7 linked regions of the Cricetulus griseus genome follow. The protein of the gene in region 6 interacts with the protein of the main gene of each other region in a pairwise test. Links are inferred from orthologs where the notes say so. Each region holds a gene or a part of one and is shown on either strand. Other genes may lie near its edges.

Evidence for each region.
Region 1: the proteins of Disc1 (region 6) and Trio interact in binary tests that used the Homo sapiens proteins (3 or more experiments, as listed by UniProt). The link is inferred for Cricetulus griseus from reciprocal best matches to the Homo sapiens genes DISC1 and TRIO.
Region 2: the proteins of Disc1 (region 6) and Dctn2 interact in a two-hybrid assay, tested with the Homo sapiens proteins (2 studies listed by BioGRID and IntAct). The link is inferred for Cricetulus griseus from reciprocal best matches to the Homo sapiens genes DISC1 and DCTN2.
Region 3: the proteins of Disc1 (region 6) and Eif3h interact in binary tests that used the Homo sapiens proteins (3 or more experiments, as listed by UniProt). The link is inferred for Cricetulus griseus from reciprocal best matches to the Homo sapiens genes DISC1 and EIF3H.
Region 4: the proteins of Disc1 (region 6) and Pcnx4 interact in a two-hybrid assay, tested with the Homo sapiens proteins (2 studies listed by BioGRID and IntAct). The link is inferred for Cricetulus griseus from reciprocal best matches to the Homo sapiens genes DISC1 and PCNX4.
Region 5: the proteins of Disc1 (region 6) and Nefm interact in a two-hybrid assay, tested with the Homo sapiens proteins (2 studies listed by BioGRID and IntAct). The link is inferred for Cricetulus griseus from reciprocal best matches to the Homo sapiens genes DISC1 and NEFM.
Region 7: the proteins of Disc1 (region 6) and Cep170 interact in binary tests that used the Homo sapiens proteins (3 or more experiments, as listed by UniProt). The link is inferred for Cricetulus griseus from reciprocal best matches to the Homo sapiens genes DISC1 and CEP170.

Annotation. Positions count from the first base shown.
Region 1 is NC_048595.1:358,604,665-358,608,634, forward strand, and holds part of Trio (triple functional domain protein), read right to left. Parts: intron 2,976-3,970; coding exon 2,463-2,975; intron 1,251-2,462; coding exon 1,128-1,250; intron 1-1,127. UniProt on the Homo sapiens protein: Guanine nucleotide exchange factor (GEF) for RHOA and RAC1 GTPases. Involved in coordinating actin remodeling, which is necessary for cell migration and growth. Plays a key role in the regulation of neurite outgrowth and lamellipodia formation.
Region 2 is NW_023276806.1:130,459,324-130,463,764, reverse strand, and holds the start of Dctn2 (dynactin subunit 2), read left to right. Parts: upstream 1-1,547; 5' UTR 1,548-1,742; coding exon 1,743-1,778; intron 1,779-2,649; coding exon 2,650-2,718; intron 2,719-4,441. UniProt on the Homo sapiens protein: Part of the dynactin complex that activates the molecular motor dynein for ultra-processive transport along microtubules. In the dynactin soulder domain, binds the ACTR1A filament and acts as a molecular ruler to determine the length.
Region 3 is NC_048603.1:3,251,226-3,255,195, reverse strand, and holds part of Eif3h (eukaryotic translation initiation factor 3 subunit H), read right to left. Parts: intron 3,101-3,970; coding exon 2,944-3,100; intron 1-2,943.
Region 4 is NC_048598.1:130,873,737-130,878,194, forward strand, and holds the start of Pcnx4 (pecanex-like protein 4), read right to left. Parts: upstream 2,863-4,458; 5' UTR 2,708-2,862; intron 1-2,707.
Region 5 is NW_023276807.1:223,117,596-223,122,021, forward strand, and holds the start of Nefm (neurofilament medium polypeptide), read right to left. Parts: upstream 2,882-4,426; coding exon 1,808-2,881; intron 1,075-1,807; coding exon 950-1,074; intron 1-949. UniProt on the Homo sapiens protein: Neurofilaments usually contain three intermediate filament proteins: NEFL, NEFM, and NEFH which are involved in the maintenance of neuronal caliber.
Region 6 is NC_048596.1:201,987,517-201,991,486, forward strand, and holds part of Disc1 (disrupted in schizophrenia 1 protein), read left to right. Parts: intron 1-530; coding exon 531-804; intron 805-3,970. UniProt on the Homo sapiens protein: Involved in the regulation of multiple aspects of embryonic and adult neurogenesis. Required for neural progenitor proliferation in the ventrical/subventrical zone during embryonic brain development and in the adult dentate gyrus of the hippocampus.
Region 7 is NC_048598.1:17,032,785-17,036,754, reverse strand, and holds part of Cep170 (centrosomal protein of 170 kDa), read right to left. Parts: coding exon 2,759-3,970; intron 1-2,758.

The sequences.
Region 1 (3,970 bases), on a different chromosome or scaffold from region 6:
TTATCTCCCCTTAAAGTGGCTGGATTTGCTAATGCTGTTTCTCTGAATCCTTGAGAGAAAAGGCCACTACACTCTGCCAGGAGAGTACACACAGAGGCTCTCGGCTAGAACCATTAGAATGAGAGAAGTACAGGCCACCGAAATGGTCCTCCTAGCAGGGATCATCTACAGACTGGATTACATACTCCTCCATCATTTTCATTTCCTAAGAAGACTATACCAGCCACGTGCTTCCCATTTCCCATTACTCTATCATTTCCAGCACAACCAGGGACATTGAGACCCACTCAGCCCTACAGAGCCTGTACCATGTGGCCAGGCGCCATCCCAACTACAAGTACTTATGCCTTGACTTCATCCTCAAGCTTGTATGTTATGCTAGAGTGTCATTCTTGGTATTCCCTAATCAGGTTCCTTTAGAGACTGCCCACTTATGTATTTGTATTTAGTCTTTTATTCTCTAAGGTTCCTCAAAACACTACAGGCAGAAGGAGTAAGGACTGAAAGCTAGTTGGCCTTGCCTGGCATGCATGATAGCTGATGACTGGTGGAGGTGTCAGAATAAGGGGCAAGAAAGGTCCAGAAAGCTGCTGAACTGCTGTCATCAGCACAGTAAGAGTGATCATATCCTAAGAGAAGTTTAATTGAGAAAAGTAACACAACGTACTGTAGAAAAGAAGAAAAAGATGCTAGCATCTAAAGAAAGAAATTAGAGGTGGGAAAGAGAAGAGGGAGGAAAGAAGAAGGAAGGGAAGGAGGGAGAGAGGGAAGGAAAGAGGGAGAGAAGGGACGGGACGTCAATCATACTTTGAAGAGTTTCCCCTCCTACTTTGATTAGATAATATCGCAGGTGTTGATTATGATTCTTGAAAGCCACAATGAAGTGTTCTAGACATGCAGAGCAAATAACACAATATATCAAAGAAAGACAATGTGCCCAAGTCATAGATTAGGCAACTAAGGGTCAAAGAGGTCAAACAAATTGTCCAAAGTCATATAAGAAATGAGGGTGACAACTATCATCTCTATAGCCATTGCCACTGAAGGCCCCACATAGGCTGTCTGAGGTATGTGTACTCCAGCCACCTACTGCCTCCCATCTTCCGCAGGGTCTCACAACAGCTTACCATACAGTTCATAGCGAAATGATTGTGCTGTGTCTGAAGCTCCATTGCATGAGGGTGGCTAGTCCCGATCTCCGTGTAGCTATTTAGAAACAGGCCTTTGTTGTGTGTGATCCAGTCAAACATCTACCAGAAGGAAAAAGATTACTTGGGATCACTGCAGAAAAAGAAAGGGCAGGGTGAGGGGTGGGAGGGGTATGTGTGTGTGTGGGGGGGGGGTTGCTAGCTTCTCTGAGGTCTCCCTGAGCTTGCTGGGGTTTATGCCTCTAAGAACAAGCAAGAGCTTCTGAGGCAGCAGATCTCAAGAAAGTCTTGTCTCATAAGGAGGAACTCAGCTTGCTCCCTCAACCTAAGAGAAACCCTGTCTTCTGTGCCCAGGCCCCTTCCTCTAAAAAGTGCTCCATGGGTCTCACTGCTCTCCCTCTGAAGACCCAAGGCTGGAACCAGGACCTTGGAGTGTTTCTGTACTAGGATCTATGAAGACATTACTAACAGCTGAAAGAATACACTCTCTCGTGCAAGACACGCACAGAAACCTGAGCAAATACAAACAACCAAATTACCAAAATATTTCAAAGGACTTGAGAGTTTGATAGGTCTCAGGTAAGCCAGTGATGCTGACTCACCCATCTAAAAATCCTTTTAGCACCCTATATCAAAAAATTCTAATGTGGTTTTTTTACTTTCCAGTGCGTTTACCAATCCATGGAAAAACAAAACCGAATGGCCACAAGTTAAGACATTACTTCACCTATCTCCATGGCCTGCAAACCATTCCTGTTTGCAAGCATCCTTTTTGTTCACATTGCAAAGAATACATTATCTGGCAATGAATGAGCATCCACTCTGACCAGGACATCTGTCATTATTGTCCACATCACCTAGAAACTTATTTCTAATGGAATCACTCACCTTTTGTTAGAAAAGGACACAGTATAGGTCTGAATAGGGTTTGCTTTGCTGGCTTTGTTGGATCAGAGGGTGGGTATCAGAAAATCTATACATAATCACTGCTTTTAAGAACACAATTGTGCAATGTGGACTAAAAAAAAAAAATCACTCTTGCCTGCCTTTCAGGCACTCTTCTTCAAACCACCGGTAGCTTTTAGCTCAGACTTTCTAAAATAGCACTGTATTGTACTGAGAGTAAAACTGGAGGCCAGATTAAGGATGGCTTCCGAATGGCCCTTGCTGTGGAATGCACACTGGAACTGCAGCCCTATTACTTTCCTCCTTCTCTCTGTTTCCTCACATTATCACACCAGTCTCAGAGGCGAGACCCAGTGACCCAGCAGCTCCCCTCTGTCAAGCTGGCATGCCCCTCCCTCCCGCTTTTACCTTCTCAGCATCCTGTTCAAACAGCCGCAGCTGGAAACACTGGTCCAGCTTCAGTTTCCTCACGTGCCACATCTGATGCAGATGCTGCCGGGTGGAGTGCAGCCTGTCCAGCATGGTGGACACCTTGGGCAAGAGGTTCTGCAGGTCCGCATTGCCCGAGCCCGAGTTCTTTTTTGGAAAACTGTCACTGCTCTGAATCCGCTGTAGCAGCTTCTGCCCTTCTAAATCTAGGTCCTCTATGGGAGCTTTAATCACCTTCTTCTTTAGCTGAGAGTGTTCCTCAATCATGTTCCGAGCCCCCTCGAGGTCCTGAGGCAACTCCTTCTTTGCAAGTATATCCTGAAGTTCCTCTAGCCTCGACAGCATATGGGCTGCATTGCTAATGTAGTCCTCAAAAGCTACTCTGATTTCAATCCATTCTTCATGGTTGTATTCCAGGCAGCCATCGAACTCGGGAGTTAGCTGGGAAGGATCAACTACTTTGGTAAGGCCTTCTAAAGAGACCATATTTGTCTTAAGGGAAAAAAAATTATGTATGAGAAGCTGAGCCAGTTTTATGTGGTCATATCAACCTGTAACTTACAGTGGTCACACATGGGTTTTCAAAGTTAAAAGTAACCTGCTCCTGTAAAACCCAGGCCATGCCTGGTTCTGCCTCTCCAGAACAAATATGGGCAGCTCATCGTCAGCATGATGAAAAACTCCATGCAAGTAACACTGCAGTGGGAATGCCTAGCAGCATAGAACTGTGAATTTCACAAGTCCCAAATCAACTAGATTCCACTAAAGGAGGAGAAAAGGAACTAAAGCTTAAGCTCACTTCAGGCTTCACAAGAGAGCTGGTGAAGGTGATTTCACAGAGTGAAGACAGGGGGAATCCCACCTTCCCTGTGATAACCTGCCACAATCCGGCGCAGTCTGAACATATCTGAACATAGTCTGCCCTGCATCCCAATTTAACACAGACAAAACCCGAGTTTAGTACAGTCTAAGCAAGCACTCCCGACATGATGCATTGGAATGGAAGCCTACTGATACTGATACGATGCCTCAAGGAAAACATGAGGTTGGAGTGGTAAGATGCAAATGCAAAAGAGAAGGAGCTGCCCTAGAACTGAAAGATAAGCAGTCTGGCTAATCCACCCATCACCTCCAGCCAGCCAGAGTCCTAGAACTGGCATTTCCATGCTGGCATCAGAAATAACACAAGGTAGCCGGGCTGGAAAGAGCGGCTCAAGCTGGAGCTGCTTTTAGCCTATAATGGTCCAGGAGGCTTATGCCTATCATTTGCTTGAACCATTAGTAATCTGCATGGAGGCAGCCACACAGAGAGAGGCTGGTAACCATGCAGAGACAACCAGGTCAGGAAGACGATGGGCAAGCGCCTTCAGGAGCCCAAGAGACTAGTAAGAGACTAGTAAATTAGACTAGTAAACCTGTGAGTGCAAACTACTATTTATTTAGGACATGTATAATTAAAATACATCACACATTAAATTTTCCATTAA
Region 2 (4,441 bases), on a different chromosome or scaffold from region 6:
AATATCACATAATAAGTTTTATATTTGTTTTCCCCTCCTCCTTGTCCATTGTTGTTTCAAGACAGGGTTTCTCTATGTAGCTCTGACTGTCCTGGAACTGGCTCTGTAGACCAGGCTGTATTGCGACTCAGCGATCTGCCTGTCTCTGACTCAAAGTGCTGGAACTAAAGGTGAGCACCACTATGCCTGCCTGGCCTTCCCTTCTGTTTTAAAAATAGGTCAGTGAGATGGCTCAGCAGGGAAAGGGGTTTGCCAACAAACCATGACCTGAGTTTGATCCCCAGGTCCCCCATGGTGGGAAGAAAAAACAGACAAATAACAGTTGTTCTGTGAACTCCAAACTTACGTAAAGACAAGTGCTCGAGCACATACACACACGATAAATAAATAAATGTTAAATCAATTCAATTAAATAGTGTTTCTTTGTCATGTATATACTTGGCAAAATGAAAAGAGTACCTATATTATGTCTATTCTCCAGAAAGATCTGTTGTCAGCCTGGACACAAAGCTACTATGTACAAGGTCCCCAGTACAATACCCAGCCCTGAAAAGTGAGTTTCAGGATACCCTGGGCTAAAGAGTGAGACCATGTTAATTCCTTCTTCCTAATTTCTGGAGACTATTAATGAAGTGGTGACCACCATGGAGTGTTCAGTCAGAGTTGCAGCTATCATTTTTCCATTTAGATTTCCAAATTTAAAAAAAAAACCCATAATCAGCATACCCAGACAAATTTGAATTTCAGATTATTATATGCATATCACAAATATAATAAGACACATGCTTTTTTGTTGTTATTTTTGTTTTTTCGAGACAGGGTTTCTCTGTGTAGACCTGGCTGTCCTGGAACTCTGTAGACCAGGCTGGCCTCAAACTCACAGAGATCTGCCTGTTTCTCCCTTCTGAGTGTTGGGATTAAAGGTGTGCACCAGCACTGCCTGGCCCTGAAATTCAATTTTTAAAAAAATTCTTATTAGTTTTATGTATTTAATGTATACGGATGCCTTGCCTACATGTATGTCTGTGTACCACATGTGTGTCTGAAGAGGGCATGGGACCACCTGGAACCGGAGTTATAAATGGCTGTGAGCCACCATGTGGGTGCTGGGAATCAAACCCAGGTCCTGCAAGAGCATCCAGTGCTCCTAACCGCTGAGACATTTCTCCAGCTCCTGAAATTAAAATTTAACTGAGGGACCCTGAGTTTTGTCCTGCAGCCCTCATCTGAAAAGACTGCTTCACTTTTTCGTCCCTTACATTTTTTACTAAATCATACTGTTGTTGTTCACAAAGCGACGAGCTGTGTGATTTCGAGCCCACCTCTAGATGTTCGGAAGTAGGACTTATGCAATCCTTTTCGTAGACTATTAAAAATGATGGAAAAAAAATAAGCTGTACGAACTAACTCTCTCCCTAAGGTGTGTTATCGTCGTTCCCAGCCCCAGCCCCAGAGGCCCGAAACTACATATCCCACAATGCCACACGGCGTCTCCTCGCCATTACCTCATTCCCCGTCGCTCGCACCAATCCCAGGCTCTTCAGGGGTGTGGTAGCCGGCCGTCCTCGCGACTTTTGCGGTACCCTTCCGCCGGGTGACTCCTGTCGCGAGACTTCCTGCTCCTCTGCCGCTCCCTTTACCGTCGCCTTTGCCGGGAACCCGGACCCAGCCTCTTCCCCCACCCGGTCACCGGCCCCGGCTCCACCGAGGCCTCGGTCCCCCAGCCCCGCCTCGCCGCCGCCATGGCGGACCCTAAATACGCCGACCTCCCCGGCATTGTGAGTACAGGGCCGGGCCCGGCTCCCCAGACCGCGCCCCCGATCTCCCAAGGACCCCCAACAGAAACCAGCCCGCGACCCCTCCCGCTGGCACCCCCTTCTCCGCCCTAGCGGTTACCGCCGCTCGCCCATCGACGGCTGCAGCACCTTCCGGACTGCCGACTCGACTGGGCCGGGCTTTTGGACTCCGCGTCTGGCCCCCTTTTTCCTGCAGTAGCCAGTTTCTCCGCCCAGGAATCGCCTCCGGGCGCCCGCCACTTGTGCCCGAGTGTTTGTATCATCCATGTCAACACTGTCCTGGTCGCCCCAAATGTCCCGATTGCCCGCCCCCGCATCCTTGCTCCAGCCATACTCACTAGGCCACTTGATGATGGCCTTCATCTCTCCAGGGAAGAGGTTACTGTCGCAGAAAACCTTGTGCCAATTGGGAGCTCTGTCCCTTGGGAGCACCCGTGCCTGCTCCTCATGTCCAAGGAGGCATTTACGCTTCGGTGGTGTTGGCCCTGTCCATTTGCATTCTCAGGGTTGGGAGACTGGCCCATAGGACCTTGAGAACTAAGTACCTGAGTCACTCAACCCTTGTAACAGTGGAGTGGTATGCAGGGCAGGATAGTTACCTAGGACTGGCCTCTCAGCTGGGCCCAGGGTAGCATCTTTCTTTTCACATTGGTCATTTGCCCCAGGTCCCAGTTTGTCCCTGTGGTTGTCCCACTGAGGTGTGGGAGCTGACACCCTGTTGACAGTGGAAGTGGAAAACCGGTAGAATCCTTGAATCACAGTCCGGGTTTTGCATTAGCTTGTTCATAGGAAATGGGGACAAGAGGTGAACGCTGGGATAGTGAGATTGGGTGGTCACTGCTTCTACCTGCAGGCCAGGAACGAGCCCGATGTTTATGAAACCAGCGACCTACCTGAAGATGATCAAGCAGAGTTTGATGCGGTAAGACTCTGTGCTGCCTCAGGACCCCTCTCCCCCAGATAGGTCTTTTCCTTCTCTGGCAAGCCACAGCAATAAGTGAGTATGCCAACCCCAGCCTGGGTGATATGTAGGTCTCAGGGCCTTGAAAGGCCTTGCTGAGCTGGCAGCCATCAGTGAACAATGCCAGAAAGGAGGGTCATGCCAGTGGGACTACGGCTAACTAGACCTGCTAGTAAAATCCAAGTCTTAGGTTTTCTAAATACAATTGAAATATCTCAAAACAGTTACATTCTGGGTTAGTGATTAATTAGGCCCCTGGGTTCTAATCCATGCTTGGACTTTAATAAATTGTTTACAGTTGGAGTAGGCCTTTTTGTTTTATAATATATTTCACTCAGTGCATTCTGATTAGTACTTACCAAGAACTTGAATTTCAAGTACTAGTAGCCATTAGGCAAGGTGTAAACAAATGACTTGGAGACTTCAGACAAGTAAGAGGCCTGGTTAGACCAAAGTAATTTTGGGGAAAATACACAATGAACTCTGAGGAGTCGATGTGGATGCAGGAAAGGAATTATTTTGTATCGTTTAACAGAATATATCATTCTGTTTTGATTCATTCTGTGCAGAGGAAGAGGCGTCCTTGCCGCTAAGGAGCCCTTGACTAATGTGACCATCAGGATGCATACAGGAAATAAGGAGAGGAGTTAGGATACATGTAGGTAACATAAGAAGAAGCCTAAAAGGAATGAACAGAAATGAGTATAGTGCTATGGGGACAAAGGCCCAGCAATGGCTTGTATAGATCATGTTTTATTATTTCCAAAGAAAGTTGAGCTGGGCCCACATGGATGCTGTGAGACCTCAGTGAAGGTGTGGAGACATCTCAGCAGGCCCAGTATGTGTGTCTGTTAGTCCTGTGGCTGTGTCTGTGGGGCTGATTAGTTGTGGGGATTGTTGGTTGCTGGCTTTTATAATGATATGGCTTGGCATACTCACTTATTCCTTGTTTTGTTCTCCCCTGTGGGAGTGTCTCCTACATTGTGGGGAATAGCTTCTCTGTCCCTTCTCTCGGCAGTGTGTTCCTTGTGGCTTCTGTATTTGCTGGCATGTCAGTCCACTTCTCCCTCCTCCCCCCAGCTTAAGTATCTGGAGGTAATGCAGATGATGTCATAGCCGGGTACTTAAATGAAAACCTGTCCCTCCGAGAGGTGTCTTAGTTACCCTGTCCTCATAGAGTAGCAAAGTATGTAATGAGGAATTCCTGTACTACATCAATGAAAGATGGCCCAAAACCTGCCTATAAAATAACAAGCCCCTGTAGGGGACTGTCCCTTTCGCTTACTGTGATACAAGTGCACAGTGGTACCACAGCAACCCTGTCTCCAAACAAACAGATGGCATCATTATTTTCTTTTTGGAGGTAGAGAGGTAGCTCTTAATCATAAGAAGACTGTGCCCATTATAGGCATGATGGGACCTGAATATAAAGCTCCAATTGGCTCCTTTTCCTCACTGAGCCTGAGCAGCCTATTGCTGTAGCAGTTAATGACTGTAGAGGGAGGACATCCAAAGTTTGTTTCCTTCAGCATATTACCAGGAAGCAAGGGTCTATGGAAGGGCCTGGGAGCCGGATAGTGAACACCGGTGATTTGAAGCTGCTCTCATCACCATGGCTCAGCTCAGGGGTCAGAGAGGAGTGTATGTGGAGACCTTCAGCCCTTCAGGAGCCCGGAGAGCCAAG
Region 3 (3,970 bases), on a different chromosome or scaffold from region 6:
ATAGGGCTGATAAAAATTACAATCTGTGCAGAATAGGATAAAATGACCAGGAATGAAGCATACAAGAAATTTTATGTTTACAGAGGGGTCCTAGAACCAATCCCTAACGGAAAACAAGGGCTGGATAGAAGTGAAAAATGGTTCAGCATCAATGTTGATCAAGAACATGCCATGCAGGCCACTGAGAGAAAACACATCATTACCCAGGGCTGCATCCTGAACTCTACAATAAGGACCTGCCAGGAAATGTGTACCTGTTGGTGCAACAGTGCATGAAAATTATGGGAAAACCAAGAAGATTATGGCTACATTTGAGGCCTACTCCAAAGAAGGGAATTCGTGGCTCATTCCACAAACCTGGTCAAAAGCCCAAGGGCTCTAAGTGGGCGCCTACTGCTGTTGCTAAATGGCCATGTTGTCAAACTGTCATCAAAATACTTATATTTATAGCCACAGATTAATGTTACTGTCAACCTTGACCAGAAAAGCCTCTTTCTGCAGTGGGCAGTGATGCAGAGGCTGGTAAGGTGCTAAGAAAAGGTAGCTCAGTGTCAGCCCAAAATGGGACATCTCAATCCAGTCCCTACACATACAGGTTGAGAAAACAGCATATAAGAGGCAGGAGGAGTTTAGCTAAGAGCTGGGGGGTGAGTCTGTGCAGGAGTGCTGTGAAATGCTATCTTCCTGACATGATATGGACACTACGCTCATGAAATCACTGAAACTGGGGACCTGCAAGAACAAGGCAACTGGTGATCCGCCAACTTTCCAGCTGGTGGCATTAATTGGACCCAGTGGGTCACTAAATAAATAAATAAAATAAGAAGAAAAAGATAAAATAGCCAATAGCCAGGAAGGTAGGTGATGGGGAATGCACTGTGTGTGTTTATCTTATTGATTGTTAAAGTTCTGTTTGGCCAATGAAACAGCAAGACAGGACTAGGAGTCAAAGAGGATTATGGGAAACGTAGTAGAAGTGGTGTTCCAGGCAGGAAGTGACATAGCAAGGAGACTGATAAGCAAGGAGAAAGATGAAGTGTCCCCTTTCCCCTTCCTCCTCCAGCAGCAGGATGTGAACCACCGGCAAGAGAGGGCGCCAACGAAAGGCATCCTCTATAAAAATAAGTCTTATAACATATATAGATTTATGATAATTAAGACTGAGCTAGGTTCCCAGCGACCGATCCGCCAGGAGAGTTCTCATCCAGTGGCTGATGGAAGCAGAGACAGACATACACAGAAATACACTGAGCTGAAATCGGGAACCTAGTTGAAGAGAGGGAGGAATGAAGAACGAAGGGGTCTGTACCAGGATGGAGAAACCCACAGAAACAGTTGGCCTGAAAAAGGGAAAGCATATCGACCCCAGACGCTCTCTGGGAGGCCAGTACGGGACTAATCCAGCCCCCTGATCATGGATGCCAATGGGGAGGCCCCTGCACTCCTGGGAGCCTCCGGAGGTGGACTGGCGTTTTGCTCTGGTGTGTGTGGGGGACTTTAAGAGCCCATCCCACTTGAAGGGATGCACTCTGTCTCTGGACACATGGGGAGGGGCCTAGGCCCAGCACAGGAAGATTTGGTGGACTTGGTGGAGCCCCTGTTGGGGGCCCTACCCTGCCTGGGGAGTGGTGGGTGGATGGGGTGGGGGGTAGGTTGGAGGTGGGGGAGAAGGAATGGGGGTGAGGGGAGGGAGAGGGAGAGGGGAATTACATGTGAAACAAGCTTGTTCCCTAACTTGAATTAATAATAATAATAATAATAATAATAATAATAATAATAATAAAAGACTATATATAAAAAAAAGACTGAGCTAGCAGATGAGAATCCTAGTCATTGGCCAAGCAGCTTTGAACCTAATACAAGTTTCTGTGTATTCCTTTGGGCCTAACTCAGGCGGGCGGCTGGCGGAGAGCGCCCACGTGGCCTTAGGGCTCAGCGGCTTTGGCGGAAGGATTTATAGTAGCAAGTAGGGGGTGGGTGGAGTAGGATCTGGGAATAGGTCTGACCAAGATACATTGCATAAATATATAAAAATTGTCAAGGAATAAATAAAAGATATTCTTGGTTGGAGAAATGACTCAGGACTGGAGTTTGGTTTCTAAGGTCCACATCAGGTGGCTCACCCACCTATTACTCCAGCTCCAGAGGATCCAACATACCCACATACATGCATGCATGCGCGCGCGCGCACACACACACACACACACACACACACACACACACACACACACACACACACACATCTTTTAAGTAAAAAAAATCTTAAGAAATCCTGCCATATGCTACAACATGGATGAAAGTTGATACTGCCTCAAAGTCTGCATGATTTAACTTATCAATTATCTAAAAGGCAAACAGAAAGCAATACAGAACAGTGGTTATCAGCAGTGAGAGACAGAAAGGCTAACAGTGTCACTTTTATGAGAAACTTCTAGAGATCTACTGACAACATGCATAATTCATAAAAATTATGATAATAAAAATCGGTCATATGCTATAGGCAACCATTTTTAATTTTTAATCGTATATAAACGGGGTCCTAAGAGTTTGAAAAAGTGAAAAGTTATTTTCAACTAGATTTTAAAAGAGAAATCTTTAAGGATGTTTAGTTTGTGTCTGGTGTAATCTTTTAACTACAGGATAATCTTCCTAAAGCATCTCTCTTCTTAAATACTTCAAAACAGAAGATAATAAATAGATGCCAAACAGGACAAAGCAATGAACTTTATTGCAAATTCTCATTGCATAGAATATGCATTTTCCAAAAAACTCAAAAAAAAAAAAAAATCAAATGATTTAGGTTAACCCAATAAAAAATTCCCAATAACATATTATCAAGCTACACTAGAAAATGTGTTAACTTGTATATATACACATATACATATACATACATACATACATAGATACGGTAAAGACACACGTGACACCAGTCTGCACGCTTACCTTCATCAAAGTCAGCGTCGTCTTCCGTGTGCTGAGGGAACGGGAAGCAGTTGGTAATCTCCAGTCGGTCTTCTACAACCAGACCCAGGAGCACTCCTTGAACAACCTCCGTTCCTTGTCCTTCCTCTTGATAGTGTTTGATGATCTTTAATACCACCTAAAAGGAAACAGGAAAGACAACTTAAACACCACACTAGTCTAGGTTTTACTTATTTTTAAGGAAAAGATCGAAAAGCCACCAGTAAGTTTCCAAAACCACAAAACTACATATTAGGACTCAACAAATTTTGTCTTGCAAACCATTTCCTTTAACCTAACATAAATAATAAGGCTCACATGAGGTTCCTAGATAGTTAACCCTACTAATGAGATCACTAAGCCTTTGTTAAAAACAAAGTAACAGTTATCAGAAGACAGGTAAGCTGAACTTAGATGTTTAGAAGAATCCTACAATTTAAAAGCCAGTATCCACATATGCAAAGGGGAATGCTAATGTCTAGAATCCAGCACGTTTCCACAAAGAAGCCAGTCAGAGTAACCTTATTTCCTTTCACAGAGGAAACAAGGCAAAGGAAGGCTGTCAAGGATGTAAGAAGCAGTTGCAGCTGAAGCATAGGAAACTATCCCATATTCCTTCCAGCGTTCCTGAAGCACTCCACTTGCTTCCTCTTATGGACCAGGGACACTTAACCATTCAACGTTCCCAAAAGAGACAGGAAATCATAGAGGTCCAATTGGCTGCTAAATAAATTCAGCAGATAAATAAATGACTAGTAGGATAATTACAGAGAAAGCTTAAAACCCTGTGATGAGGACTCATTGACTTCAATAAATTCTTATCTCTGGAAAAGCCCTCAAAAGGAGTACCTGTCAAATGGAAAGGAGCTCCAGGTACTGGAGCATTGGTCTTCCGTGGAAACATAAACCTGGGAATCACCAGTGATCCTCTCAACAAATAAAATTTCAAATTTAAGGATAAATTATCTACAGCATTCAACACTGGCCAAAATAAAAACTTATCAAGAAA
Region 4 (4,458 bases), on a different chromosome or scaffold from region 6:
AGGGACGCAGACCTTAGCAGGCCCTCAGACCTTGACAAAATTGACTCCATGATGAAAGTATCATTCAGGCTGTAAAACTCAGAGGGTAGACAACACCACCTGCCAAAACTAAAACAAAGTCCTAATCCATCGAAGTCCATAGTTATGGGAAAGTCTCTAAAATGTAAAGCAAGGTTAGTACCTTGCTTTTTGGCTTCTGTAGTTATGCTTCTTGCTAACTCTTCTTGTTAACTGAAGTGTGTCAACCCAGGACATGGATTTTGTGCTTAAAAGATCACCCTGAGAAAGGTTTGGGGTTACACTGGGATCCCAAACACCAGTGCAAGTTAATGGCCAGCTAATAAAGACTTTCCATTGGCTTAAACCCATGTCCAAACAGTCTTTTCTGGTAAATACAGACTACAACAGGCCCTCCCCATTCAATCACATACTTTTAAAAAGATCTACAGGTTTGTCTGTAGCCCAGGCTTACAGAGGTGTTTAGGGCTCCCTTCTCTCTGATGATTCTAGCCTGTGTCAAGTTGACACAAAATTAAGCCAGCACAACAGCATCCTACTACTCATGGACAATTAAAATGGAAAGAAAAAGCTAAAGATTCTGACTACCCTCCCATTTCTCACTCACTCTAATAAATTCAATTGGTTTGATAACCTTTTCTCTCAAAAAAGGTATCATCAGCGTCAAGCCTGACACTCATAGAAATCACTAGAAATAACTGTACAAAAAATCGAGAACCAACAATATTGACAACTAAGTTACAACGTTAACTAGTGGCAAACTAAGGTTTTAAACCATACCAACCTATTATCAAACAAAAGTACAGTTTGCTTTGAGGATTCTTGAGTGGTGGATTTGAAAGGAATCTACAAAGTGTAAAAATGTAAAACCTGATACCTAAGCTTGCATGAGGGCACTGGCACCTAACACTCTTGAAAAAGTATATTCAAGAGTCCTCACTATCAGGGAAGTGAAAAAACCAATTTACAGAATAGTAAAAGGCTATTAAGTAGAGATTTGTATTTAGAATATATAATGAATTCTTCTAATTCAATGATGAAAATACAACTTGGGTTTTAAAAGATGAACTAAGGATAAGAATCGACAATTTCTGGGTGATGGGCCAGATGGACTTGGGAATGAAATCTGACATAAGGAAAAGCAAACCAAGTCTACCATGAGATACTCTGAATTTCCTTGAGTGGCTAAAACAAAAATGAAAGACAAAAACAAATACTGGTGAGGTTAACTTAAAACCTTCAAACACGTCTGGTGGGGATGTAGTGGTGCAGTGCCTTGGAAAACCTTGGCAGTTTCTGAAAAGCCTAAACAAGAGGATTAGCATATAACTCACCTACTCTATTACCAGGTTATTATATCCAAGAGAAATGAAAACATGCCTGAACAAAAACTTATACAAAATGTACACAGTATATTATTACTGGCCAAAAGGAAAAAAACTCAGTGTCTATTAATGGCTAAAAGGACAAATAAATGACCCGCATCTGCATAATAGACTTTTATAAAATAAACAATAATGAAGTAATAAAGCTCTGACATGGGTGAACTTGAAAAACATTCCTTTAAGGTGAAAGAAGCTAAAAGCACGCATTCAAATCAGATATTTTAAGGTTCTGTTTATATGGAACACCTAGAATAAATCTGTAGAGACAAAAAGAAAATAGATTAGTGATTGCCAAGAACTAAAGTGGGCAGGAATATTGGGAAAAGGTGAGGAAAAGGAGCTAAAACTATGTTTTGTTTTGGTTTTTTGAAGTAATCAAATTGTTCCAAAATTGACTGTAGCAATGGTTGTGCAATTCTGTCAATACACTTGCACCAATGAGTTGTATACTTCCAGATAATGAGTTGTACCTCAAGAAAGCTCTTACAGAGGAAGATGAAAAAGTTCCCTGCCCGAGATTTTCCACAGAAGTTAACAGTCAACAAGCATCTCATTCGATAGGAAAGGTAAAACTTGTAGACAGCATGGGCCCCAAACTGTTAAGTTATTAAAATGGCAATATCTGAACTGGATGCTGTAAGAAATGATGGGCTAATGAGAGTGGTTGTAAGTGGATAGAAATATGAATGTTCTCTCTAAATGCAGGAACTTAATGAAAAAAAAATAAAGCAATAGTGAAAAAATGAGTAAGGGGGAAATAGGAGGCACAGATCAGGTAATTCGGAGGCCTAATAAATAACAAACGGGAATGGGATTCATTTACATAAATTCTGGTCTTTGACTCGCAAAGGATTATAAGGAGACAGAAAAACCTGACAAACGAGCTATATATGTATCCAGGCGGCCAAGAATGAGCAATTTGGGGGAGGAGGGTTTGAGATGAGAGAACCAAGAAACAGTGAACTCTACCTAAGGGGCACAGTCCTTGATCTTGATCTGGGTAACATGCTCATGCCTCATCAGGGCCAAAGGGACACTCCATTTCACAAAGGCCTCTCAGAAAGAAAACGCAGCTCCACGGGGTGCAAAATTTGCTGCCCGGTTAAAAACCACAATGGGTCACTACCTCTATCAATTCGGTTCACCCTGGACATAAAAAAAGAGCAACAGTTGCATTTAAAAGCTTTCAAACAGAGATCGGAAGACGTCTGCTGAGGAAATAAAAGCTGAAAGAACCGGGTGGTATCCACGCGTGGAAACTAAGGCAGCAACGAAGCCCCAGGTGTGTCTGGGACGGACTTTACCTGGAGTCACCCGAGGGGAGGGGCGACGCGAGGGCGTCCCGGGACCACATCTCCCCTGGGGAGGTCGGTTGGGAGCTCCCTCCCGACGATGGATGCGGCCGGCACCAGCAGCTGACCCGGGGCCTCCAGGACCGCTCGCGTTTCCATGGCTAACATCAACTGCGCTCCCGCCTCCCAGGAGGCAGTGCGCACGCGCGCTCGGAGGCGGGGCTGGGCGTCTCGCTCCGCCCCCGTCGGCACGACCCGGCGGGAGGTGGGTTCCCGTGCACAGCGCAGGGGAGCGGGGTGGGCGGTGTTTGCTCCGCGCCGGGGCCTAGAGCTGTGGGCTTCGCTAGGATCCGACTGCCACTCAGGTCCTTGAACATCCATCCTAAGCACCACCTCTGAGCTCTGACCCGGGCTACGCTCAGACGCAAGAACGTGGTTGCCTTGGTGACGAAATGTTCCTGCGCTGCGAGCCTCCAGACTACTATTTTGGGAGCCTAGGAGCTCCAAGATTGGCAGACCCATGACTCAAGAATGTAATAGGAGTTCAATCCACTAGGGTCCTGAGACCAACATTAATGACCACAGAACTAAAGCCAGACAACAGCCTCGGGATTCTGAATGCTTTTAAATGGCACCACGTGCCTATTCTACTTAGATTTGAAACCAAATACCCTTGTTGTCTTGCACTACTAGATACTGCCTTTTCCTGTTTACAAAATGAAGGTTCATGACCACAGCAAGTCTTGGTACCATCTTTCCAACTATATGTGTCTATTTTTGTGTCATATATCGGTGATTCTCAAAACGTTTTAAACAATGTGTATATTTGTTACATACACGATCTCAATTCAAATGTTTTCACCTCCCCCCCCCCCCCCAGACAGTATTTCACTGTTTTGTGTAGCCCTGGCTGTCCTGGATCTCACTCAGTAGATCAGGCTGATCTTGAACACACAGAGATCCTCTCCTGCCTCTGCCTCCGGAGTGCTGGAGTGCTGGGATTAAAGGCGTGTGACACCACCGTCCCACATGTTTTTACTCTTCATAGTATAATACTTTGGGGACATTATAAACTATATTCATATAATAGTGAACTTATCAGTGACAGTGGGCCAGGGGCCAGGGACACAGGTTGTGCATAGCCACCTTAGCAACCCGAGTTCTTTTCAGAGATCAAAAAATTTCAGGGTGGGCCTGTATGAAGCAGAGTTGAGAGTTTGTTAATGATTTTATCATAAAGTGCAGGGGTTAATAGGTATGCTCAATGACAAGGTAAGACACACGAAAGTGTGGGGACTTTTCCCTTTACATGGTCACATATATGATTTTGGTGATGTCTGAGCTTACACAGAAAGCTATGCTACGAAAGTGGAGTGACATAAGCAGGTTACTGATGTCCATTGGATCTAATACAGCTGATAGGTTAAAAGGGTATTTTGAAAAATATGTTTATAGTCTTGTTTGTTAGAGTCCCAGAACTTTTCAGATTTATGTATTTTTGGAAAAGAGTGAGGTCATGAATACTCAGGTCCTAAGCATGACTTGCAGATATTTAAACATTCATATTTGAAATGCGTCCCTAAAAAAGGAGTATTGTCTCTCTGTAGGCAGTCTTCACAGGAAATTTTAATTCTTCTGGGATTCTTTTCTTGCTGGGCTATCTGACCTCAAATGTCAAAACAACTCTTTCAGCTTCTCAACATACATTAAAATTTTACCTTATTATATTGTGGGTTACTAAATGCACAATAGCTTATCTTTAA
Region 5 (4,426 bases), on a different chromosome or scaffold from region 6:
TAAAAAAAAAACTATTGGGCATAAATCAGAATGTTGATGAATTTGAACTGTAGCTAGATGTTAATATTGGTGAACCCAGTTATACTTTGTTTTATGATTTCAGTGATGGAATGACTATTTGTATAATCATCTGGTTTTCTTAAAAAGAAAGTGCAGTTTATTCTGGCTGTAGAGTGTTTCGGGGAAATGATTGCTTTGTCAAGAACTGTGTGCTTTGAATCTGGTCCGCAGAAAGACATCATTAATCAGGAGACCTATAACCAGTCTGTTGATAAGGATATCAAACCTCTAATTGCCTATACCTTTAGCTCTATATGTTCCTATACATACATGCTTGTATAGATCTAGCTATATGAGTATCACATATACTGCAGTCAGGTAGGATGCATGTATATCATCCATAGACTTAAAATAAGTCTATCTATATTCTAATGTATCTATAGCTAGTCTCAGCCAGATGATGGCAACAGTATGCTGCAAGAGAAAAACAGTGGTAGAATGACCTGGTGTTTGTCCTTGGCATTATAAAAGAGTTAGAATCATCAGATGAAATACTAAAAATCAAAACTTCATCTGCCTGCCAGACATACAAGGATATTTAAAACAAAATGTTTAAGCCTATTGGTGTGGCCCCTAGCAACTTAAAAATACCATTTCCCCACTTTTTGTGCATTTTTGGGCTTTTCCATACAACTGTATTTTGATCATATTATTTTCCCTCCCCCAACTCCTCCCTCGTCCCGCATCTTCCCTATATTCACTCTTTAAAGACAAATAAAAGTGATAAAAGTGCATTTGCAACACGGAGGATTCTATTTGTTTTTAACCGAGCAGGGGAACCAGGCCTCTGAGCTAACCCTGTCAGCTTTGGCCTAAGTGGGGAAGGCTGTGAGCCAACAACCTCTGCAGTGCGGATAGCGCCTGGACCAAGGCTGCAGAGATCCTCTACCTGTATGCGGCTATCTCGATGTCCAGGGCCATTTTGACGTTGAGGAGATCCTGGTATTCTCTCAAATGACGAGCCATTTCCCACTTTGTTCCCCGAAGCTCATTTTCCAACTGCTGGATGGTGTCCTGAAAGGCACAGGGTATCTCCAGAAACTTCCTTCACAAGAAAGACACTTGCTTTCCTCCTCCCCCAACCTGCCTCCCCACCCCCATCCCCACCCCGCCACCAGCTACATAAGTCTAGCAGACAACACTCTTAGCCCCCCCTCCCCATTTCTTTCTCTTTTTGGTAATGGAATTCAAAACAAACCAATAAAAATCAACCAGACATTTCCCAGGTACTATGTGCAGGGAAGTCAGTAAGCCTAGAACGCCCCTAAAGGGAACACTAGGGGACCCTAGGAAGCTCTATTGGACCTTACCCTCTATCCCCACCCAAATTCTGGATTGAAGCCAGTTTTGAAAGCTTGTCCCATCGCGGGGGTGGGGAGGGGTGCGTGTGTGTGTGTGTGGAGAATACAAGAGACTATCTGTGCTTCTGCTTATTAAATGACAAATTTCTCGATCACCGGAATGTGCCTCTTACTTTAAAAGTAGAATCTACCATAGGAAAGCAAGTTTTTGAAGGAGATGGGAATTTCTAAGCAGCTGAGCCAGGTGGGTGGGGCAATGAGGAAAGGCGGGGCAAGGACCCTGGGACACAGCTAACTCGGGTCTGCAGCGCTCGTGCGCGTTGGCGAGTCGCCACCAGGGAGCGCGACCAAGAGGGCCTCTGAGCGCGCGCTCCAGTAGCGTGTCGGGGGCGCGCGGCGCTGGCGCTGGCGCTGGCGCCCGCCGGCCGCGCAGCCGCGGTTCCTACCTGGTAGCTGCTGAGGTCGTGGTTGTGGCGCTCCTCGATGTCGCTGAGCTGCCGCTCCAGGGACTCCTTGGTGCCACGCACCGACTCGAGCTCGATGCTCTTGGACTGCAGCTGGCGCCGGTACTCGGCGATCTCTTCCTTGGCGGAGCGGATGGCCTCCTTGTTCTGCTCGGCCGCCTCGGTGAGCTTGGCGTAGCGGCATTTGAACCATTCTTCGGCCTGGTGCATGTTCTGGTCTGAGTGACACTCGAGCTGGGAGCGGATCTCCTTCAGGGCGGTGGAGATATCTGTCTTCAGGTAGTCTTTGCGCTCTACCGTGATGTGCGACGCCTGGATCTGAGCCAGCAGGTCGGCCACCTCCTCTTCGTGATTGCTCCGCAGGAAGGCCACCTCATCCTGCAGAGACTGAACCTTCTTGTCCAGCTCCACCTTTACCATGGACGACTCCTCGATGTCTTTGCGCAGCGCGCGGATGGCAGCCTCGGTGTCATCGCGCAGCCTCGCCTCCTCCTCGAAGCGCTCCTTGAGCCGGTGGATGTCTTCCTCCAGGTGGTCCGAGTCCAGCTGCACCTGAGCCTTCTCGTGGTTCACCATCTCGAGCGTGGCGCGCAGCTCTCGGATCTCCTGGTCGTAAGCGTCACCCAGCTGGGCGTGCGAGACCTGCTTCTGCCGCAGCGCCTGGATCTCCGCCTCGATCTCCTTGTTCTGCTGTTCCAAGTAGTGCACTTTCTCTATGTAGCCGGCAAAGCGGTCGTTCAGCCCCTGAAGCTGCTCTTTCTCGTTGGAACGGGACAGCTTGTAGTCGCCGCCCGAGCCGCCGTTGAGTAGCGAGGAGGACTGGCTGAAGTCGAGGCTGCTCTCGGCCGAGCTGAGCATGGCCGAGCTATAGGCGAGGCGCGGGGCGAGCGCGCTGCGCTTGTAGGAGGAGGACACGGTGCTGGGCGAGCCGCGGGACCAGGACTGCGAGCGGAAGCCGCTGGACGGGGACCCGCTCACGCGGCTGAAACTGGAGCGGGTCTCGGTGACCCGCCGGTAGGCGGACGGGTTGCCCAGCGAGTCCAGCGTGTAGCTCATCTTGGAGGCCTTGGGGTGTGTGGCTGTCACAGCGTTCTGCCGGCCTCTCCGCAGCCCCTTTATAGCGGAGCAGCTGGTCCCGGGCCAGGGCCCCGCCCCGTGGAGGCGGCGGTCGAGGAGGCGGGGACTGCGGGCACCGGGCCGGGGGTGGGGGGAAGGGGGAGACAAGCCCTGCGGTGATTCAGCGGCCGCTCCACGCTCCACGTGGGCCGGCGCCACAGTGGACCCCGCACTTGGGTGTAGCCCTGCCGGCCCTTCCCCAGCGTCCCCTTGGGTCCCAGACCACTTGTCACCCTGTAGATCTCCCTTTTTTGCTTTTCACCGGCAGTTTGCAGTTCACAGCCTTGGTCTAAGTGCCGACTCAGCGTCCTTTCTTTGTCTAGCCACTCTCTGGCCCGTTGGGCAGTTCTTCTCTGGCCTCCTGGCTGTTCTTTGGTCCCCTACCTCTAAGCCTCTTTCTTCCTTACATTTGACCTTAGGCTTGCTGTTCTTTATCACCCACCTCCAACCCCCTTGTGGCCCTTCTCTGTCTTCTCTCTCTCTCTCTCTCTTTTGTAGTTCTCACCCGGCATTTCCCTTGGAGCCCTTTCCCCTGGGACTTTTTTTCTTTGTCGCCTCATCTTTCACCCCTTCCCCTCTCTCCCCCCACACTCTCCTTTTTCCTTCCCCACTCATCCTTATCTTCCTTGTCCACCCTTTCCTCCGCCTACGCCTTGTCTTAAAGCAGGCTGAGATGAGCTGAGAGTTATGCAGAAGAAAAAAAAAAGAGAGTTTTTGAGAAATGGCAGGTCTGAAACCCCCGGGAAGGGGACAAAGAGGACAGGCTGGAGTATTCATTTGAGTTAAAAGTGTGATTTGGCGCTCCGGTCTGCTTAACGGTTGGGGGACCTCGGCAGCTTCCAGAAGGTAAGGCGCAGGGGCGCCCAAGGATCCGGCAGCACCAAGGACAGCGCCCAGCGGGGCCGTGGGATGCTGCTGGTTTCTTGCCTGCCAGAGCCCAGAGGAGGGTCATTTGTGGCTCATCTCCCCCAGAAAATACTAAACCTGTTTGTAGTGACTGTTTGTTGTAGGCACCAAGCTGGAATCCCACGCTAAGACTTCTCTGCAGTGCAGAGTTGGCACAATGAACACACTGCAGATTTCGAAAACAACTAAAATTCCTTAAACTCAGTTAAGGGAAGTAGAGACTTGAAAACCAGTTTGACTTTACCAACAAATGATGGATGCTGGGAAAGGAGACACAAGGCCTGAAATTTGAAGGTCAACTATTCCTTGGGAAGGGGAATTTGAAATCCGAGATGAAAAATCCAGGGAGATAGAATGTATGATAAGTTTGAAAAATGCTTTGTCATCTTTCTGCCTAGGCACCGCTTTTGTGTGCTGTAACAATTGATTAGGTGATTCAATTAGTTTTAAACTAATTGAAAGGTTACAGAACAGATTCACCCCTGTCTTGAATAAGCCGGGCATTCCCCCTCCCTTTAAAAAATATGTTGTATTTCCCCACGTAGATTTTGATGTCCAGTTTGGAATAGGTCAACCATC
Region 6 (3,970 bases):
GAGTCAGAAGCACTGTGATTCTGTGAGGGGAGCAAGAGAGAGAGAGAGAGAGAGAGAGAGAGAGAGAGAGAGAGAGCTGCTGAGCAGAGTGGGATGGCCAGTGGCATTAGTTCCCTACTGGCCTGGGCCCTGTTATACATGTGTCAGTGGGTGAGGGTTTGCTAGTGGGATGACATTCCAGGTAGTAGAACAGCACCTGCAGACGCCTGCAATTAGGCAGATATGGGCAGGCTTGTTGACATAAGAGATCCAGCAGGAGTATAGGGCCAGATGTACTGGGTAACTGTTCTTGGAAGAGCAAATGGGATTCTGGGTGTCCTTGCTGACCAGACAGCTAAGAAGGACCCACGTGGATATCACTGTGACTAGAGACACACAGATTTTGGTCCCTCTATGTCTCCAGGTTGAAGTTTTGTCTCTATAAAATGATGTCATGGAGTGTAAGATGACCCCCTGATACTAACATACTGTCCATGGGTAGCATGAGCCATTGCTGGGCTAATTTCCATGCCTGCTTCCCTCTGTCTTAGCTGCAGGTGTCCACTGCTTGCAAGAGTGTGGAAAGCCGACTTGGAGGCTTGTCAGCTGCTGATGCAGAGTCTGCGGCTCCAGGAAGCAGGCATCAACCCACATGCAGAAGGTGAGAAGCAGATGGACAGCATAGGAGAGGCCACCTGGACAGCCACCCTGACTGCCCATCCCAGACCACACCCAGAAGAGGAGAAGACCCCCTTGCAGGTGCTCAATGCATGGAGCATTCACTCAACCCCCTTACCACACTGTGCTGGAGGCCAACAGAAAGAGGTTTGTCCTATGTATGCGTGACTTTTTCAGGGGTCCATGTGGCGATGAGAACAAACAGAACTGGAGGGGGGTTGCCATAGACCCTCACAAAGTTCCCAAAATTCATACAACTCTTGAATACGATAACAAAATAGTGTATAGCTTTTTGAAGCTTAAAACATAGACGAGCAAAGAGAAAAGCTTAGAACATTAGCTTTCTTTTTAATTCTAGTTTAGAGGGCCCCATTGTTCTAATTCATTCTAGAATAAGGAAGTTCATATAGAATCATATGTAGTATGCACTATGCATCTTATATAACATAGGTTGTTATACAGACTGTATATCATATATATTCAATTGTATTTCTAGAGCCTATAGATTATATCATTTATGAATTCAAACATTCTAATGTTTGAATTCTAATACATGGTGTCATTTTCACCAAAAACAGATCATGATGAATGTTTGTGGTTCATTTTTTTTCATGAAATCAAAGCAAAACAAAGAGCAGAGAGCCCTGTTGTTTGGCCTGATGTGTACATTTCCATTAGAACATGATATTACTTAATTTTTAAAATCAGGGCCTGACCCTGACAAGTGGAGAAAGCTCCCTCACCCCACTTTCCCAGCTTTCCATTCTGCTCCTGCCTGAAGTCCAGAGGGGTTCCTTGGGTACATGTCTTCCCTCTGAGGCTTCCAAGTTCCTTATTTGGTGGTTTCTGGGTATTCCGTCAGGTCCCATATGTTCTGTAAGGGAAGAAGTTGGCTATAGCTGCTGCCTGACTCATGCCCTCACCTTGACTTTTCAAATCCCATTGCACCCCTTCCTTTGTCTTTGCCAAAATTCAATGAGATGGGAGAGTGGGTGGGGAAAGCACCCTAGCCAACCTGCAGGGTCTCCTGCTCCTGATTAGGACTAGAGTCGTGACATTACAGACCCTGTGCCCTGTGTTCAGCATAACAACCGGTCACTGTGTCTGTGCTGTCTGAGGACTGGCTGTGCTTGTATTTGAACACATGTCCCCATGGGAAGATGAGTAGTATCATAGTCTCTCTGGGTCCCTGCTAGCCTCGGCTGGGTAGGCTTTAAGGAGAACTCCTTCAATACCCAATATTCTCTCTGGAATTGCAACATAGTTTCCCAAATACTTAACAGCTTCTCATGGAGCCAACATTTTACTGGGAAGGTCATAGCAAACCCTGAGCCTATTTCAGGAGCCTGAAGCCAACAGAACATCTTAAAGGTGAGATGGCAGTATTTTGTTATATTTGTTTTACTTTAAAACACGTGTTGCTGCTAATCTCTGACCATGTCTAATTTATAAATCAGGCTTTGTCACAGATAGGTATACATATGAAAAATTGTTCTACTTAGGTTTGATGCTGTCTGTAGTCTTAGGTATGCACAGAGGGGTCCAGGAACATTGAACCGGCATTCTTTGAATTCACAAATACCATAGATCTTAAGATGATAGATATTTTTTGGGAAAGGCAAAAATGATGGGACTGGAGAGCAGGTCTCATTGCCTGGAAGCTGGGAAGAAAGAATCTGGGAGTAGTGACAGATGTGTTTTCTGTCTTGTGGTGGAACCACTATGTATATATATGTAGCCATCTGAATCATGGCTTTACAGTGGAAAAAATTGCACATAACTTTTCAGAACTGACTAAAAGCTTAATGCAATGTCTGCCTGCTTAAAACAGGGCTGTATATGAAACAGGGGGACTTACCTCAAGACTCTGAGAGCTCAGGGGAGGAGAGGGCTCAGCTTGGAGTTCAGGTTCCATTTCTGCTGCTGGGAGGCTGCATCTTCTCATCCACTGACTCAACACCAGCAACAACGTGGGCTGGAGGGATGGTTCAATGGGTAGAGTGTTTGCTGTGTAAGCATGAGAACTTGAGTTAAATTCCCAGCACCCACATAAAAGGCTGGGCAAGGTAGTATAAGCTTATAAGCCCAGCACCATGGATGTAGACACAGGAGTATCACTGACTTTGCCAGCCTGCCAAATTGGTGAACCTCAGTGCAGTAAGAGACCCTGTCTCAAAAAAACAAGGACTGACATCTGAAGTTGGCTTCTGGACTCCATATGCACATACACACACAAGAATAGTCTCCCTGTGCAAACACAAATACCTGTGCACACCCTTGTCACCATGCATGCACATACAAACTCACACACACATACTTACCTACACAGACACATACAAAAGTAACAATGGCCGCAAAAATCAAGAGAGAATAATCAGAACTAAGTTTTTAGTGGCATTAATTACCCTTCCTGTTACCATGACCAAATGCCTGACAGAAACAAGAGAGGAGAGAATGTCTTTGGCTCACTATTTCAGAGACCTCAGCCTGTCATGGGAGGCATGTATGACCAGGGCAGGCTACATCACATTGGGCCATCTCTTTTGTCTTGTTAGTTGTAGTGCCTGTACACGTGGTAAAGCCTGGCTAGTGTTAATTTCTGTATCTCTGGTGTTCTGGAGGTCACAACACCTAAAACACCCTTTGATAATCTACTTTGCTGGCATTGTCAGGAGGAGAAAGTGAGCAGTGAATGAGAGAGATGCCTAAGGAGAGGCAGGCTATAAAGGGGAAAGCTTGCTTGTGTTTGCTGGGAGATTTTAGACCACTAAGCCTCAGAGGTGTGATACTTGGGGGTCTCCTGGTGAAGGTGGTTTTGTCTTCCTGTCTTGCTTTTCAGGGGCTATTGAAGTCTGGGGAGGGATGATGTGTTTATCTTGAGGCAAAATGTCCCTTTGCTTTGCAGCTCCAGGTGTATTTGGCTTTGCAAGGCGCTGCTGGGCCAGGCTACCCCCCCCCCCACACACACACTGGTTTTCCTATTGAAGCATGACACCCTGGGGGCAGGCAATTGCTTTTCAATCCAAATCTTCCATGACAAATCGAGGGCTTCTTACAGAGGTCCACAGGGAGATGGTTTCAAAGCCTTTCCTAAGCTTATCTGGCCTGCACAGTGATATGCATTTCGAAGACACATTGTTCAGGGAGTGCTTTGTCACTCTGGAACACCAGCCTTGTGGCTGAAGGTCCCCACCAGGCTACTCAATGCCATTGCCTTCATTCTGCAGCTGAGTCCATGAAGGCAAGGCCCTTTGCTTGAGGCTTTGTTCCAGAGGAAGTCAGCAACCCAACTAAGGGCTGCATGGGTGTGCCC
Region 7 (3,970 bases), on a different chromosome or scaffold from region 6:
GGTGCTGCTATTCATAGTAGCATATAGCTTTTAGACACAGGGTCCTGCTAGACAGTCCAAATCTGGAACACATTAAGTGGCCGAGGCTGGCCTAGAGTTTACTGAAGTCTTGGGATTATGGGTGTTAACCACTGTAGCTGGTCAACTGCTTTATTTTGATAACTAAGGGCCTTTAATTTTAAATACCAAAATCTTGACCAAAATAAAGCTGGGTATTTCCTTTGTCACCAAAAAAATATGGGAGAAAGGCAAGTCATTGAGCCCTTGGAAGCAAATAGTACCAGAGATGCATAAAAGAATTGCTATCAACGTTGCTATACATTTCCAGTCATCAATGCTTACCAAATTATATGAAAGAAAATACTGAATCAAAAATAATTTTTTTACATATGTCAATATGGACAGATTCATAGGTGGTAGATAACTTCAAGGTCTTTAAAGTTTACAAGGAGAATGGAACATTGATCAATATGATTCCATGTTCTTCCCCCCCCCCCCCCCCCCCCCGGCCAGGGTTTCTCTGTGTAGCTTTGGAGCCTATCCTGGCACTTGCTCTGGAGACCAGGCTAGCCTTGAACTCATAAAGATCCACCTGCCTTTGCCTTCCGAGTGCTGGGATTAAAGGTGTGCGCCACTAATGCCCAGCTAATTTCATGTTCTTTTAAGCCTTATTTTCTTCTCTTTTCCCACTCAAGATAATATATCTTAAATAGAAATGTTATAGCATCAAAGATATTCAATTGTTAAAAGCAAACATAAATCTTTTAGTAATAATTCCATGCAACAACTATTTAGTACATTCTTCACTGACATGGACTGGATAATATGATTTCAATGATTTACTGAACAACACCCAAACTATTATACTTTATATTCAGCTTGTATATGCTTCTAGTAATAAGATATTAGCTGTCTTCTGGAAGCTAGCATATAGTTCCATTTCTCAACAGCCAGTAATAAAGGTCCTAGATTCTCATTCTGACCTGACATCTGACCAGGGCAAATTATTTTATCTCCTGGCACCAGTTCCCTAGATAGCTCTTAAATTTCATGACTGGAGTTATGTAAAAGCTGACTACTAAGTATAAAGAACGAAAGTAACAATTTTCCCTTGGGAATTTCATTAAGGAATCCCAAGACTTTTTATTTGTTTTAGATAACAAAAAGTGAGTATCAAGATCTGCATTCAAAGCAGAAATCAAAATTTGTCTATATATGATATGAAATCTTATGCTTGTTTCTCATTCTTGCCAAGTGGTCCTATTTAGACCACATCTTAAATAAGCCCCTCATGCTAAAGAATAAGGAATAAAGCTAGATTAGCCCCATGGTAAGAGCTAGTCACTCAGCAGAGAAGCAGCCACTTCATGCTCCATGTTACCAAACAACTTCCATCACCACTCATGTTAATGTGTTAATGTGCTTAAATGGAGGTGAGGTGGTAAAGCAAGCAGTGTTTCAGAGGAAACCAGAGTACACACCAGAGTGCAGCAAAGGGAATGAACTGAGAAGGGAGGGCCATAAGAAATAAATGAGGAACAATACCTAGCAACCAATTCATTAATAGTCAATCAAGGACTAGTATGTGGAAACAGACCAGAACAACAAATGCCATTTATCCTTCAGGAAGCATGGCTATATATTCTCTAGTTTTGGTTTATATCCAGTCCTACCACAGTCTACAACTATCATTACCAAAGCCACTGACCAATGGAGATGAAAAGAAAATAGAATGGATGAAAGCAAAGTGAAAAGGAGGAACGGGAAGTGGAAAAAACAAAAACAAAAACACCGTTTATGAAGTAATACTAGTTTTGAATCATGAAAGATGTCTTATAAATCAAGCAAAAATAAAAGGAAGGTTATATACTAACGTTCCTCCACTTTAACTCAAGACTTAGGCTCACTTAGCTTGCTGGGAAAGAATCATAAACCTTCAAGGCTTCAAACTGGTTTACCCTTCCCGGCCTTTTCAGCCTCACCCACATATGCAGCTGATTGTGAGGTAATAAGAACATGCTTATTATATGAGGATACACACAATCAGCTAGCTGCCTCACTGCTGTGGTCATATACTCTCTCTCAGTGGCTTCAGCTTAAATACAGACAAATTAGCCAATATCACTTCAATACTGGGAGACTGTAAGTAGTGATTGCAATTATATTCAGTTATGTAATTACTATAGTTAAATGCTACAACAGGACTTTGTGAGATAATGCTCACAATTAATTAACTTTCCAATTTAGTTTAATCCATATATGCTTAGCAATCCCCCTATGAATCTGGTTTCTCCCACTGAAATTAAAGTTAATTTTCAAGAGCTCCAACCCCGAATGTGTAAGTATATGAAACATATTTCTTTACATCTGCTATTTATTTCCATCTTGACTGAAAAAATGTATATTCTCCATGGGTCCATAAGAAATTTGAAATACCTGATTTTAGAAGCATAGCATTACTTTTAGAATAGACAGTAATTCCTAATAAAATTCTGACAAACAAATCCAATTATTATCAAATAAAAAATTAAAACTCCTAAATCTGTTCAGTTAATTTCTTATTCTGAAATCACTACTTTGTATAAGACATTGGAATTACACTGACTTCTGAATTTTACATTTTAATGGAAGAACATTAACCCTCTAATTTTAACCTTATTTTTGAATTACTTTGCTAAGACAGCTAGAAATTTAATTTTTAAATAAAAAGCCCACATAGAGAACATGCTAATGTTATTAGAAATCTGGATCCAATTACCTGAAGGAGAGCCATGAGTGGAGGTCACACTTTTGACCTTGGAGTCTGATAGCCTTGAGATACTGTTAGCTCTAGTTCTAGGAGAAAACTTATCGGATGGTACTAATCTGGCTCCACTCCTAATGATGGCTTCTGCAGTGCGTGAAGAGGCACTACTTCTTGATATTGTTGCTTCAGAGTCACTACGGGCAGACAATGAGCCAAGTCTTGTTCTCCGAGGCTGAGCCAATAAATCAATCCGAGAGATTGTTCGCCTTCCTATGGGTGGTTTTGATGTGGAACTTGTGGTGGACACCTCAGAGGCAACAGATGCTTTGTCAGCATCAGCAAGTTCACTGTCGGAAGCTTCACCCAGCCGGGCTCGACGCAGGAGGGAAGTCCTGGTGGGCCGTGGCCTTGGGAGAGTGGTCGATTTACTTGATGAACCAGAGGCAACAGGAGAAGTCTTAGACTTTGTTCCTTTGCCTCCTTCCAGTTTGGAATGTATGTTGTGCTCATCGGCTGAGGTAAGTGGATTCCTTCCATGGGATTTACAGGAGTATGTTTCCTGGTCAGATGACATAATGTCAGAGATAGCAGAATGAGGTACACTAGAGGTCTGATCATCATCGGTTAAGTCTACGGAAGGCTGCCGGATTCTTCCACTGGACTGTACAAACTTTCGACCATCTGCTCTTGCACCTATGTCTGTAGAGCGACTTTTTGCTTTCTTTTCAATTTTCTCCCTAGTGCCTGACTTTGTAGCATCTTTGGAAGGGGAACTCGTGGAACACCTGTCTTTATAGAGACTAGTGAAACTCTTCCGCTTTTGGGTGGACTTTCTTTCCGTCTCTCCAGTAACTAGACTAATTGTACTGGCGGTGTCTACATCAGATTCCGGTGAAATAGAATTGTCTCTATTGTAACTGGGAGTATCTGGACCTTCATCAGTTTTATTATTATCTTCACGCAGTTTAGCTTCTAGAAAAGCCATCACTGCTTCTGTGTCTTTTAGAATCAAGGTTGTGTCCATGCTAGAATCAGTATCCAAAGAGTCGCTCCTTTCTCGAAGTCTACTTGCAGATGCCAATGCTAAGGAAGTGGGAGCAGATGAATTCTGCTTATTGATATGAGGAATAAGTTCTATGGGTATGTTTGAACTGGGTTTTTCTATGGTGAAACTCCCTTGCCGCACTAACGGCTTGGAGGACTCTTTCTTGTCTCCTTTTGAAG